2 linked regions of the Styela clava genome follow. The protein of the gene in region 1 purifies or fractionates together with the protein of each later gene. This does not show direct contact. Links are inferred from orthologs where the notes say so. Each region holds a gene or a part of one and is shown on either strand. Other genes may lie near its edges.

What was found. Proteins that work in one complex are often made in the same cells at the same time.
Region 2: the proteins of uncharacterized protein LOC120332416 (region 1) and 26S proteasome regulatory subunit 6A-B purify together in Homo sapiens (co-immunoprecipitation; 7 studies listed by BioGRID and IntAct, counting the BioPlex papers as one, with this or other methods). This does not show direct contact. The link is inferred for Styela clava from reciprocal best matches to the Homo sapiens genes PSMD10 and PSMC3.

What each region holds. Positions count from the first base shown.
Region 1 is NC_135262.1:2,711,111-2,718,374, reverse strand, and holds the start of uncharacterized protein LOC120332416, read right to left. Parts: upstream 3,012-7,264; 5' UTR 3,009-3,011; coding exon 2,880-3,008; intron 1,538-2,879; coding exon 1,293-1,537; intron 681-1,292; coding exon 353-680; 3' UTR 1-352. UniProt on the Homo sapiens protein: Acts as a chaperone during the assembly of the 26S proteasome, specifically of the PA700/19S regulatory complex (RC).
Region 2 is NC_135255.1:6,372,398-6,379,848, reverse strand, and holds the start of 26S proteasome regulatory subunit 6A-B, read right to left. Parts: upstream 3,104-7,451; 5' UTR 2,951-3,103; coding exon 2,870-2,950; intron 2,238-2,869; coding exon 2,157-2,237; intron 1,947-2,156; coding exon 1,821-1,946; intron 1,331-1,820; coding exon 1,223-1,330; intron 557-1,222; coding exon 494-556; intron 1-493. Other genes in the region: putative small nuclear ribonucleoprotein G, read left to right, coding at 3,437-3,670; centrosomal protein of 131 kDa-like, read right to left, coding at 5,299-7,451.

The DNA.
Region 1 (7,264 bases):
GAATTATCAAACGAAAAAGTGGTATAAAATCAAAAACGTGATGGATAATATTGTTTTGAAGTAAAATAAATTGATTACCGGTATTTAAGCAGGCTCTGAATACAATCTAAATTAACATCATACAAGTCTACAAATTTTCTTCAGATAAAGGTTATAAAGTCTGCTCACGAAAGCTTGCATTCTTGAAAGTTTTTGTTATTAAAAGTTGGTTTGAAGTTGGAGATGAAATTTTTTTGAAAGCTGGACTGATTAGTAGACCCATGGGTAGTTTGCTGTTCTAGTTTGACATAAAGTACTCACTTAAAAGTCGATTAGAACAACCGGGGATAAAAGGGAAATGAATAGTGTTTATTTACGCTTCTCTTACACGCCTAAGTATACCACGTGTCGTGTCTGATGCCAGGCTTATTGGTGTTTTATCATTTTTATTACGAATTGTAGTATCAGCGCCAGCTGAGATGAGTGTTTGTGCTATGTCGACACGATCCTCTTCGCAAGCTAAATGTAGAGCAGTGTTCCCCTCTGAATCAGTACAATTGTAGTTTGTGTTGTATGCAAGTAGTAGCTTCACCATCTTAGTGTTCCCTCGTGAAGCAGCTCGATGTAACGGTGTTGCGTGGAGATGATCCGCTACGTCTGTTTCTGCCCCGCGGGCGAGTAAACCCTCTGCAATTTTGTATCTGTAAAAGCAAATATCATGTCAGAATGGAATAATTTTTCATACATGATCCTAGGTAAAAGAAAGTTGAGATGAGCAGGATACCCCAAGTCACAAAGAATTCTATTACATGAGAGTGTGACAGGCAAAAAGATGGAAGCAAAGTGGGTTTTATGTCCCCTCAAATACATTCTGAATAAATTGTCACTGGTATTAAGATCCGATACCTTCACCCAAAGATGCTTAATAAATGCACAGGTTTTTCATTTGTTACACAAGGAATAGTCTCTAATATTAACTATTATCTTTAAATAAAATGCATTATTTAAGAGCCACTGTAGCTTAGAACATTGAATAACTGCTTTTTGTGGCTTGTTTAAATCATTAATTAATGAAGGAAATCAAAAATGCCATGTTCATTACCATCTGGGGCGAATAATTTGTTCCACATTCTTATTCTCAAACCAGACCCATTTTATTTGACCAACTACTTGAGCATATGGGGCATTTTGTTTAGTATTACTGTATATCTTAATTATATAAATTATTTATTGAAAAAAACCCTCTTTCATTTATATTGCCTATAAAAAAAAACCAAATAGTACACGAAGTAAATTTTGAGTAACAAAATTACCGATCTCTCGATGCAGCATAATGCAAAGGAGTCTGTCCTGTTGAGTTTCTTGCATTTATCGCAGCACCTCTTGACATCAGTGCAAAAGCGATCTCTTCATTCCCATTTGACGAAGCAATGTGAAGAGCTGACCAATCACTGTCATCCTTTGCATTCACATCAGCTCCATTGTCCAATAGGAAATCAGCAATGTCTCGCTTCCCAGCAGACGTTGCCCAATGTAGTGGTGTTCGATCTGTTTGGTCCTAAAATAGGAAAACATTTTCTTATTTGCCTGAAGGGAAAGATCAAATGAGGTAATTATATGGCGAACCATACTTTCCCAATAACTCTTAGCTTGTAAAATAAGAAGAATGATTAAATAAGAATAACATAATCTCTTTCCACGAAATGGCAAGTATATTTGTGAGCTTTCAATAGATCATAGTCTAATTTCTTCAGACAAAACAAGACATGGCTTAATAAAACAGCAATAATTGTCACTCATACTGGTACTATTAATTAGCTATTCTGATACTTATCATATGTAGGCCTATATGGTGAGTGACAGTCCGAAATGCCCAAAGCATATTATTGGAAATTCAAACAAATTCGGATCAATTGCATTTATAAGTGATTCTTGGTCCAGGAAAGATTTTAACAGAATATTCACATGAATTTATTTTATTATGGCTTAGTTTAACTTTTGACACTGTAAAAACGAAAACTAATCAAAATGATGTTCATCCCTAGCGCTACTATTCTACCAAATTTAATTCCTATATATTTAAAGTGGCTTGTGTGAATTTATCTGGTAAATATACCACAGAAATATATAATAAAAATATAAGTAACTAAACAACTAAAATATGTTTGTAGGAAGGAATTTGATTCTGGTCAAATGAAACGTAACATAATACATAGGTTCTTGAAGTGAACCAAACGAAGCCCCAGGGCTCTGTGAGAGAAACTCAGAGGAATATTTTTTTTTAAAACTAAGCAGCGAATACATTTGAATCATTAAATAAAGTAATTTCAGTTTACTCAGGAGCAATAATCGGTAAATAACAATGTGTTTTTTTATTTTTATAAATTTATTGTGGGGTTCCGTAAACAATAGTAACACCAAAACATTGAGAACCCCTGACATAATATATGCGTGTATACTGCAAGAATCTTGAATCATCTTTACCAATTAAAATATAAAACGAGAATATCGGTTGGAAACCGAAGACTTATCGATCGATAGTTAGGGGATCCCCCAAAACAGAAACTGCAGTTTCGATTCATCCGCTCTTGTAACTTGCGCACTGCGCATCGCACACACACACTCGGCGGGTTTCAAAATTCTCTCGCTTTACAAAAATCTAGATCACTATATCAATAATTGATTGATAACTCGCTAATTATACGACATAATTCGCCCAAAATCAATAGGCTTCTGGTCCGAGATAAGATGAATGCACATGCAAAATCTGGAGCAGATTCAATCTCGCTTTCGTGAGATATCGCGTGCATCTAACAGACACACACACAGACATACAGACAAATACCTATCAATATACTTACCGATCTTAAGATCGATAAGTAATGAAAATGAGAAGTCACCTTAATATTGACAAACTGTGGCTTCTGTGATATTCTGTATTGCAGTAGAGCTTGTTGTCCGTCGTAAGCAAAATTACAAATTTCTTCGTTTGAAACTCCAGCTGACATATTTACTATCAAATCGGTCATATTTATTCTGGAAAATAGGAATGATATAGTGAGTAAGTAATTGGAGTAAAATTGTTCTGATTGGTCATGCTGCATTGACTTGCAATCACAGCTGCAGGGATGAAGATTGGCAAGTTTGTCTTGATTGCAGAGTCACATTTTTCAAACTCTCCAAAAGGGGAAATTTTTGACATCAAATTCAAAATCTTTCATGGAAACTGAAAAAAAAAATACATTTGGAGTTGACTAAGCATTCTCATTAAGAATATCTGAAAATTTCATTAGGTATTTGGGCCCGCGCGAAATGCAGTGTCTATCACCATTAGAACATTATTTATTAGTTCTGGTAAGACGAATTGTGGTAGTGTTTCCTTATTCTAATCAACTCCCTTAGCACTGTTCCTTCACATAATCGCCAGTTTCGTTCGAGTTACCTAGTATGGGCCATATTATTTTAAACCTAAATAGCAACTGCATTTATTTAAATTGCGCCAAGTATTCTGATTAAAAATAGAATACATTAGAGTCTCAAACCCAGAGTCTGTGTCAAAGTTTTCATTAATCAAGAAGTCAAAGTCATTTTTGCAGAACAGAAAACCAAGATTATGATTTTCCAGATAAACATATTACTTTATTAGAAGCCAATTGTTTGGTAATAATAACATTCTAAATCTTATGCTAACAAGACAGCTGTTAATCCTATAACTTTAACTATGCAACATAACTACTCTTTCCTGACTCCGACAAAATATTTACTGCCTTTAACTATTAGAGAATTATAACATAAGCAAGTACAGCAGTTCTTCGAGTGACCTGCAAATAGCCTATATCTCCTATTTGCCACAAAAAGTTTTGGCTTCTTCATTTTTGTTAAATAAACCCACTTAGATAGACTTTTAACCGTAAAATGGTGCTAGCTCTCACAAGTAAGAAGTCGGAAAAATTGTGGCTCGCAAGGTCATTTAGTCCAACCTTTAACATGTTTCATAATTACATAAAAACATTCCCATTTGATACAATTTTAATCATAAACATATGATATTCAGCCTCCAGATGTATGCCGACTTCCTTCGCCGACAGAGCGCCTTAGCTAACAATTAAAGTCAGACAAAAGGCCGGGTATAATTTTACTCAAAGAATGTAATAAAGGCAGGGCTCGCGAGACCGCCTTTGTTATATGTTTAAATGGCCCTTTGACATAAAATCAAGCCTGCTATATCGATTAAATAGACATGTTTATTTATATGAATGCCACTTGAAAAGAATCATAAATATTATCGCCTCTGACATCCCACAACGCGATATAACCATGGCGATACTGACGCTTGCTCCCCGCATTCCTTTGCAAAATTGTCTATTCATGGAAACATGACATAACATATTTCAATAACCTTTGACCTGGTATGAAGAATGCGCTCAAGTGAATATATTACGAAAATGTGATTACTATATCTATTTTTAAAGATGGGTTAAATAGGATAAAAAGTTCAAGATTGCTACAAACACAATCTTGGGTACTTGAATAAGGGGGAAAAAAATGACGATACGCGAGTTTGCGTGCAGTTATCATCCATTTGGAATAAAACGTCACTAAAACAAATTTATTTTCAGATGTTCTAAATATTTTGCGCTCAGTTTTCTGGCATTTTATGTAGTATGGTATATGTAACCTTTTGACTCATACTTTGAATTATAACGATATTGTCAACTGCCGACAAAACGATTTTTTGTAATAGAATCATATATATATACTTCATCAATGCAACATTTTCAACGCTGATTTTGAGAGTGTTCAGGAGAGTTGGCGCTTACAAACAGGCTCACGCATTAAAAACTATCATTTTCATTCAAAGTATAAGTATATTTAGATTTTCCCACACAAAAATCATACACGAAACACAAACAATGAACACACAGAAGAAGAGAAAATCGGGGAAACTGGCAAAATCTTTGTAGATATTGTCGCGGACTAAAGTGTCCGCGTTTATGTTTTGTGTATATATATATTTTTATGTTTATGGACCTTTCCCCGACCTTTGACCCTCGAAAAATTCTTCCTATACTTTACCATTGCAAAATTTTCAGGGCTATTTTAAGAGTGCTTTTGCGAGTTGGCGCCTGTAAAATGGGGTATGTGTTTCAAACCATCATTATGATTCATCGCATACAACATACTGTTTTTTAAAAGTACCGGTAAAGAATTTCAGGCTAGTCTATCACAGCTATTTCTACAATAATTTTTATCACTGCAATTAAATTAAAACTCCTAGGAAGACAGCGTGATCATTGAATCATCTGATTTTTATTTAAGTTTCTGAAATACAACTAAAAACTAACGAATAGAGTTCAAAAACGCGAAAACGAGGTAATGTTTACAACCAGCCTTGAAAATCTGTCTGAGTGAGAAAAGTGTCTGAGCGGATGCGAAAAGGGGGGCATTGTTACGTCACTCTTCGCATCTTGCTGATTGGCCAATGTCACGAAATAAACAAGGAAGTCGATACTCGGGGAAAGGTCCGTAGACTGTTATGTTGACATTTATTTAATGCTGTTTTGTCGGATTTGGACTCCGACCACTCACTACATGTGAGGCAAAAACTGTCTTTCGATCTCTCTTCTCCGGCTGCCGCGCTGGCGGGCGGTCGTGTTTTCGGTTCCTTAGTTATATTTTGTTGTGTTGTCTGTTTATGTTGTTTTAAGTCTGATATTGGAATTGCCGAACAATAAACAACCAATCCGGAACCTTTGAGTCTTCTGATTCATTCTACAACCACGGTAACAACATCATGGTCCGTGACAATATACATGCATATACAACCCACATTCAACACAAACATATATTTAAAATAAAAAAGACGAAGACACGAACGGGTATCGTTCGGGCATTAAACTTGTGTAAACATAAACACTCGGTGGGTCCCAATTTATAAATACAATTTAATAAATACACTACAGTGCTTTTTCTATGGAAATAGGGAATAAAAAACACTTGTCGAAATGGTGATGCTCAGTGTTCCCTCTAAAGTGCGCGCGCGCACACAGCTTTCAGAGGCTGCGCACAGACGTATTTCGATGTAATGTAACAATATTCTCGGTTAGCAGGTTGAGAAAGTTTGTTGTTGGCCCACCCATTACCCGGTTAGAACGCCAAAATTTCTTCATTGGTTTTTGCACAAATATTAGTCATTTCCAAAAAAGTGCGCAGACACCAAAATTCCTGCGCACACATACTACAAAAAATTAGAGGGAACATTGGTGATGCTGTAGTTCAATTTCTGTGCAAAAATAACACAGTAACAAAAAATTGTTACTAAATAAACAAGCTTTGTAAATAGATTGAATGTTTCATAACAGTCTATGCAAAAACACGGTATGCAATCCAATCCTTATCCATAAACTTCTTTGATCCCGGTGGATGGGCCTTGCTCATGTTGGTATTACGCGATACAAATCCAACAGTAAATACCAAAACACACAGCGCGTAGCATTCTCAGTCAAACAGCCAACAAGTAAGTCATATTTATTCTGGAAAATAGGAATGATATAGTGAGTAAGTAATTGGAGTAAAATTGTTCTGATTGGTCATGCTGCATTGACTTGCAATCACAGCTGCAGGGATGAAGATTGGCAAGTTTGTCTTGATTGCAGAGTCACATTTTTCAAACTCTCCAAAAGGGGAAATTTTTGACATCAAATTCAAAATCTTTCATGGAAACTGAAAAAAAAAATACATTTGGAGTTGACTAAGCATTCTCATTAAGAATATCTGAAAATTTCATTAGGTATTTGGGCCCGCGCGAAATGCAGTGTCTATCACCATTAGAACATTATTTATTAGTTCTGGTAAGACGAATTGTGGTAGTGTTTCCTTATTCTAATCAACTCCCTTAGCACTGTTCCTTCACATAATCGCCAGTTTCGTTCGAGTTACCTAGTATGGGCCATATTATTTTAAACCTAAATAGCAACTGCATTTATTTAAATTGCGCCAAGTATTCTGATTAAAAATAGAATACATTAGAGTCTCAAACCCAGAGTCTGTGTCAAAGTTTTCATTAATCAAGAAGTCAAAGTCATTTTTGCAGAACAGAAAACCAAGATTATGATTTTCCAGATAAACATATTACTTTATTAGAAGCCAATTGTTTGGTAATAATAACATTCTAAATCTTATGCTAACAAGACAGCTGTTAATCCTATAACTTTAACTATGCAACATAACTACTCTTTCCTGACTCCGACAAAATATTTACTGCCTTTAACTATTAGAGAATTAT
Region 2 (7,451 bases), on another chromosome or scaffold:
AGAAAGGATTAAATCAACTTTAGTAAATTAAAAAAAAATTAAGATTCCGATTTGAAAACGAAATGGCCATGTAGGATTTTGGGACCTCCCGTAGTATGTGAACCAAGATGGTGGACACCGGAACGTAGTACGAGTGCAAGGTTAGGGTTAGGCCATAATTCCAGGGGCCATAATTCCAGGGACAAATACTACGGGAGTCACTTGGCTAGTCCCTGAACTAGTAATAGGACTAAAATAAGGAAAATTGAAATAAAATCATGGCCAAACCCAACATGGCACACACACGTACTACGTTCCGGTGTCCGCCATCTTGGTTCACATACTACCGGACCGGTTACTAGAGTACAGTACCGGATTTTAAACTTCGAAATATAACACACACAGTCAATGCAATAAAGTCAGTCATTCAACCTGTATATAAATCAAAGTTTATATTCCAGATTTTTTAAATCTGTTTCAGAAGCAACCTGGCAAACACTATTATTAATCTTACCACAAGATCACCAGGAGACATATCTTCTGGTTCAACAAGACCAATCACAGGCAGGAAGTACGTCTAAAAACAAAAAGAGAGAATATATTGATTCATCAAACCATAAAACGGATATAAATTATATTAAAATGAAGAATCAAAATTTGAAAGCCTCTAATGAATGACTGTTTGCTAATGATCTGGCCGTTTACATACACTCACTTAAATAAATGAAACAGATTCAGTTATATTGTTCTCTCAATATCTAACTAGTGCAGCGGTTTCCAAAGAGACGCTAATTGAGCCACAACAAATTTACTTTCTGTTATGTAGTGTCTGCCTCTATTGTTACATAAAGATAGAAATAGACACTACCTACTGGAATTTCGCGAGCTGCAGTTTATTTATCTGCTGAATCGAGTTTAGCCAACATGAGTGATTTTTTCATCATTCTGCTGACTCGAGTTTAGCAAACATGAGTGATTTTTTCACCATTCCAGAGGAAAATCAGGCAGAGATGAGGAAGAAGAGTTTACCTTTTACCTTTATTCCTTAGGCCTACATATTTACTAACTTTAAAAGGTATGAAGTACACATTAACGATCATAAAATTGAGTTTTATTTGATGGTAGCAGTTTTTTTCTAAAAGTTTTTTCCCTGATAATTTGGCGCTCCCGAACAAAAAGTTTGGGCACCACTGAATTAGTGTATACACATAACATGCTATATATATAAAATCAGATGGCATACTTGTCTAGTTGATGTTTTAATCACTGCACATTTCCCCTTGCGCTGAGAATCTAAATCAACATTTGCTCCGTCCTCTTCCGCTTGCTCTTGAGGATCAACATCAAGAAGCTGAAATATTTCATTTTTTCATTGTTTTGTAAATACGGTAATTAAAGTCGTTTAGAGAAGATTTAAAAGGGTTATTCATTGATAATGATAACCAATCAATATGACATGAGATTAGTTGATGTCAGTTCATAAAAGCATCTTTTGATTTTTAGAATAGGAATATCATATTTATCTTGGGGGAGCAGAGAGACTTTAGGGCGGCGTTATCCCTTTGCCAAACCACTGCCTCTCATCCAGTTACCAGTCCATGTCGGGTATGGCAATAGTTTATTCAGATAATGAACTTGGATTTGCCGTACCCAACCAGCGGTTATGCGAACCACCCTACGATGGCTAAGAGTACCTACATATGTCCCAAAGCAATCGAATCCTTGCAGAGAAATCGAAGGTTGGGATGGCAAGCGTATTCCCCTCTCTTAGCATGATGTACCAACCTCCTGGCTAGAAAAAATATATAGAGTGAAGTTTCAAGTTTCAACATCATACATACCTCAATGACATTTGAGACAAGATATGGCAGCGTTTTGTTAACTTTAATTTTTTCAGCATTTTCCTTTATTTTGTCTTTCATAGCTTGCAATTCATGTGATATTCTCATCGTCTCACTTCGCATAATCTGGAAAGCAATTCAACATAAGGTATATTTTGCTCCGAAGCATTCTTACACAGTGAAAACAAAAATTTGGCACTAAAGTTCTGTCAAACAGTTTGAAAATGAGGGATTAAAAAAAAAAATTGAGAACAAAGAGCATTATATAAATATCTATATACCGTAAATAAATTGTTTGTGAATATATTATTTAAGGTAAAATAATATGAAGAAAACCTTAATTTCATTATCAAGAAGTTTCGTTCGACTTGCAATTTCCTCATTGCTCATTTTCATAACTTCTTCACCGAGTGCTTCCTAAAAAAGTCATATACAAAGTTAAACAGGCATCATTGGATGGCAAGCTCAAAACACGCTGAAATTGAAATTTTTTAATAATATAAAATAAAAAATAGTGATTTTTATCAACCTTTAAACCTGTTACTCAAGTGTGTGGTCGTGTGGAGTTAATAACTATTACCGGTACACTACCGGTATTTAAATCCAAAAAGCAATATTCAAAGTTTTTCGAATTTGGCAACAAACTGACAAATCAAAACCTTAATTCAGAGACTGGGCATTCAACTTTTAGGTAACTTATAGCATGAAAGTATATATGTTATATATATTCATTTTCTGACTATATAGCCAGCATAGGCTAACTGTTAAGTATGAGTATAAGTTCATTTCGACTCTATAATCAGCATAATAGACGATAATATAATTGAAAACAAAACTGATTATAGAATCAGGAGAGCAAACAAAATCTTAATTAGGGTTTGAAGCATACAGATTTTAGATGGAAAGGTATTGTTAAAAGAAGTAGTAGTATTAAAAGTAAAAGTATTAAAATCAATTACTCAGTGAAAAAAAATATACAAAAAAATAAGTAATGTTGATTATTAGTGCCTCATCAAAATTTTATCTAACATTGTTTGCGGTTTTCTCACCTCGACACTGTCAAACATATCCATTTGTTGTTCGTCTCCAGTAGGACTTTTTAGCTTCTCATCAATTGCCGGAGGTGCCATCTTCAATTATACTACTGCGACAGCGATTTAATTTCTAAAAAATTGTGTTCTAATAGAAAAATATATGATGATAGCTTGGAGTTTCAAGGTACGGCACAGTACGTAACTTCCAGACCTCTAAATGTAAATCCGTCCCTTCTGAAACGACAGAACAACAAAATCTGACAATGCAAATATATTAGATGCTTACTCATACTTTTGCCACTGGAGCGTTACGGGTAGTTTTTTAGGAAATAAATACAATTTTGGTTGAATATTTTTCCTATTTGTATATTTTATGATTAAATAATTAATTAATAAATAAGTTAAGACCAGAGTAAGCATATTGCATCATTTACTCCATATTCTTTTTGATGAGCTCAAACGCTAGGGGGAGAAGCAAGCTACTTCTTAAAATAAGGACGCGCGTTTTGATTGCGCTCAGTTCACTTTCTGCGCACTGTATGTTTCGGTATTTGCTGTTGGATTGTATCGCGTAATATCAAGATGAGCAAGGCCCATCCACCAGAATTGAAGAAGTTTATGGATAAAAGATTGGATTTAAAGTTGAATGGTGGACGATCTGTTACGGGAGTTTTGCGAGGATTCGATCCTTTCATGAATCTAGTTGTGGATGATGGAACAGAGCGCAGAAAAGACGGGACCACTGCACCCGTCGGAATGGTGGTCGTTCGCGGAAATTCGATATTAATGTTGGAAGCATTGGAAAGGATTCAATGATTTTTAATGAACTAATACCAACCACAAAAAAACTGATTTAACAATCCGTGATTGTGCATAGACTTATAAAAACATTTCGATCTATTTTCGGTCTTGCTAATTATCGAAAACAGCGTTTATCATAGTTTCTTTTTGTTTGTGCTGTTTTCGGTAAGTTGTAAGAGCGATTTTTATTTATGTTTGTATACCCTACTTTGATCTAGTGTAGCTTCCAAACATGTACTACTTAAATACTTGATTGCAAAACAAGCTAAACAGTGACTGCTTACCTCCAATAGTGATGGTTTGACACTATTGTTTCTATACCCCCAAAGTGGCATTGCGAACCATATGTATTTTAACTTAGCATATCATTGGGAAATAGTATATCTGTTAATATTGAGCAAAATAAAATGCATAGTTTCCTGTGGCTCTAATTACCTTCATTCTGTCATTTTTAACTGTTGCAGTTGTGTAATTTCAGTTCATGCTAGATCTATGTATGAAGGTAATTGAATTGTAAGTCTTATTTTCTATGTGCCAATAGCATTTTGCTATGGAATAAAATTTTTAAAAGTGAACGTCTATGTTTTAAATCTCAACACAATCCTATTGAGAAAGCCTGCAATGTGATACACATAGACGGATGTGCATATCCGCATTCGCTTAGAAACATTATCCCATAACGAATGCCTGTCAAAATGGGCTGTTATCGTCCTATTAATTGTTTGTCGTTTTCTTTGATCCTTGTTTTCTTGAGATATAAGCAAAGTATAAAAAGGGAAGCCGGGAAAATAACTTCTCCCAACGGATTGAGGAAATAAAAGAATAATACCCAATTTTGATATTTATATGATTCCAAAATCAATTAGATTGCAAATGAAGTGATGTTCCAAGACCACCTCTTACAGTGGTTCCCAACCTTTTATGGCTCGTGGCCACGCTGTTTGTTTATCATTCCAGTGTTATTTTGATTGGTAGATTCCAAGTTCCATTATGTTCAAACAATTCATGCACTAAAAAAGGGAGGAACACCATGTGAAATAACCTCATCAAGCAACGAAACTAGGAAGAACGGAGAGTTTTCTTGAGAAGTGGATAGTAAAATCAGTTTTACGCCTAGCATTGTGCCCCCCCCCCCCCCTGACCTAATATTTAATGCCGTACCCTACTTACTTTCTGTGCTCAATCCGAATGAACTACTCACTTATCCTGCCTCTTTCACCTTCCCATTTTAAAAGAGCCGGCACAATGAAAAGTAACTATTATAATGTATCAAATATATCAAAATTTGCAATAACTAAAAAATAAAACATTTCAGTAAAACATGATACCCATGGTGAAATTGAGTAATCATTTTAGTACAAAAATATATTCTCTATTCTCTGTGAGGGATAAAACGCTGCTATGCTAAAATACAGAACAAGGCACATGTGTCGCCCAAACTACCAAAACAGTCCAGGTAGGGCATGTATAAAACCATCAATGTGACAATGTAGTGACCAAATGAACGATTTGAGCTTTGGACAAAGCTGGAGCTACAAGGTTATACCGATGACATTATGTTAGGCTCAGGGCTGAAAATCAAAGACCTTAAGCTGGACCAGGCAAGATATTTGATGGTGAATTCTATTAACCAGGAGATATTGCTATTTCTTCCTGCCAAGGAGTTGTTTTCGTTGTGCTTCCAACAAGCCTTCTAGATGATCAGCACGCTTAACTGCGGACTCATGCTGTTGTTTTATTTGTGCAACTGATTCTTCTTTTTTCACAATTGCTGCTTTCACTCTTTTGTGTACTTCAGCAAGCTCCTCTTCTTTTTCTTGGTTTACTCGATCCAGTTCCAACCGGTGTCGAGCTCGCATTTGTGCGATTTCATTCTTCATCCTCTTATTTTCTTCCTCTGTGTGTACTAGCCGCTCAGCAAATTCGTCACGAACTATATCTGTGACGTTCCCTCTTTCTTCCACAAGTCTGTTTTTCACCTTTTTCACATCTAAGATTTCTTGTTCCTTATGAGCAATTGTGCTTTTCAGCCTCATATTTTCACCCTCCATGTCAGAATATTGCACTTTCATGTTGTTGTATTTTTCATGAGTCTGTCGTTCCAAAACTTCAATCTCTTTGAGTTCCGATTCATACTTTTCCCGTATTCTCTTGATTCTATTTTCAGCTGTTTTTTCGATTTGACTTCTTTGTACACCCATGTCCTTTTCAAGCTGTTCTATTACAGTTTCAATTTCAGAATCACGATCTTGTCGTACTGCATCTTTCAATTCTCTTTCTTTTTGGAGAACATATGCTTCCTGCTTTTTCATATAAGTTTCTTGCCAGGCTTGTTTTTCTAATTCCAACCGTTCTTTCAGAGTTTCGATTTCCACTGTATGGCGTCGTTCAGCTTCCTCTTTGCTTTTCTCATATTCATCTGTTAGTGCGGAGGTGGCAAGGCTGTTATGTTTTTCCAATTGTTCTTTTAGGCGATCAATGTCAGCTCGTTGTCGAGCAGCTTGCTCATTCAGCCTTTCTTTTTCATCGGATACTTCAGCATACAATCTTCTTCTTTGTTGCTGCAGAGCAATTTCTTCTTGTTCAAGTTGCTTTTCATATCTCTGTCTTGCCATTTCTCTTTCTCGATTGCAAGCTGCATCTTTTTCCCGTTCGAGATGTTCACGCAACTCCTCAGTTTGTCGAATATATCTTTGACCGGCTCTCTCATCTGATTGCAGTAACTCTGCTTCATGAATTGCTTTTATTTTTTTTACTTCCTGTTTATGTTTAGCTATTAACCTTTGTATCTCAGGTTCCAATCCTTTTACAGTCATTTCTTTTATAGTTTTTGTCTTATCCTCAATCCATTTTTCTCTTCGCAACTTCTCAGCAGCCGATAATACTTCTTTTTGCTTTCGGACTTCAATAGCATGGGCCTCTTGAAGTTCTTTTATCTTTTTCTGATATTTACTTTCAGCTTGCTTCATTTCAATAACAACCCTTTCACATTTTTCACCAAGAACTTTTTTGTCATCAATTAGTTGATCGATGAAAGAAAGATGCCTTTGGATTGTTGATTCATATTGCTCTTTCTGCATTTTCAATCGTTGGTTCATTTCTTTTTCCTGTTCATGTGCATGACGAACTGTCAATTCACGTTGCTGTGCAAGTGCTTTCTTTAGCAAATCCACACTTTTTGTCTTTTCGTCCACATTCAGACGTAATTTTAGCAACTCTGTTGTAACTTGAGAAGCAGCTTTCTCTGCTTGAACTAATTCAGCCATTTTATCAGATTCTGAAATTTCTTGATGTCTGTGTTCTGAGACATGACTAGTGTGAGAGCGCGCTGCCTCATACTTTTCATCCTGTTTCTCTACATTATCCAAAAACTCCATGAGATTGCTAAGTTTAGCTTTTGTTAACAAGTTGTTTGTGCTGTCTTGTACCGGTTTTGTACCATCTATGAAATCACCAGCACCACGAGCACTGCCAGAAACTTTTGAATTGGATACAGAGCTCAAGTGATCTGCCTGCATTTCATCTATCCACGCAAGCTTTTCATCAAGTTTACCATTAGTTTCTATTTTTGTTAGTTGCTCAGGCTCAGCTTCAAGTTGTTGTATTGTTTCTAACAAGCTTTCCAAGAGTCCTTGACTTTTTGTCGTTTCTCCTGGTGATTCAGGTAATTCTTCAGGGATACTTTCTTCATCTTGAGAAGGTATATCGTCTTTTTGTGCTGAATTATAGCTTGAACTTTTTGCAGTGGAAAATTTTGTTTCTTCAAATATCCTATCTATTTTATCTTCAACATTTT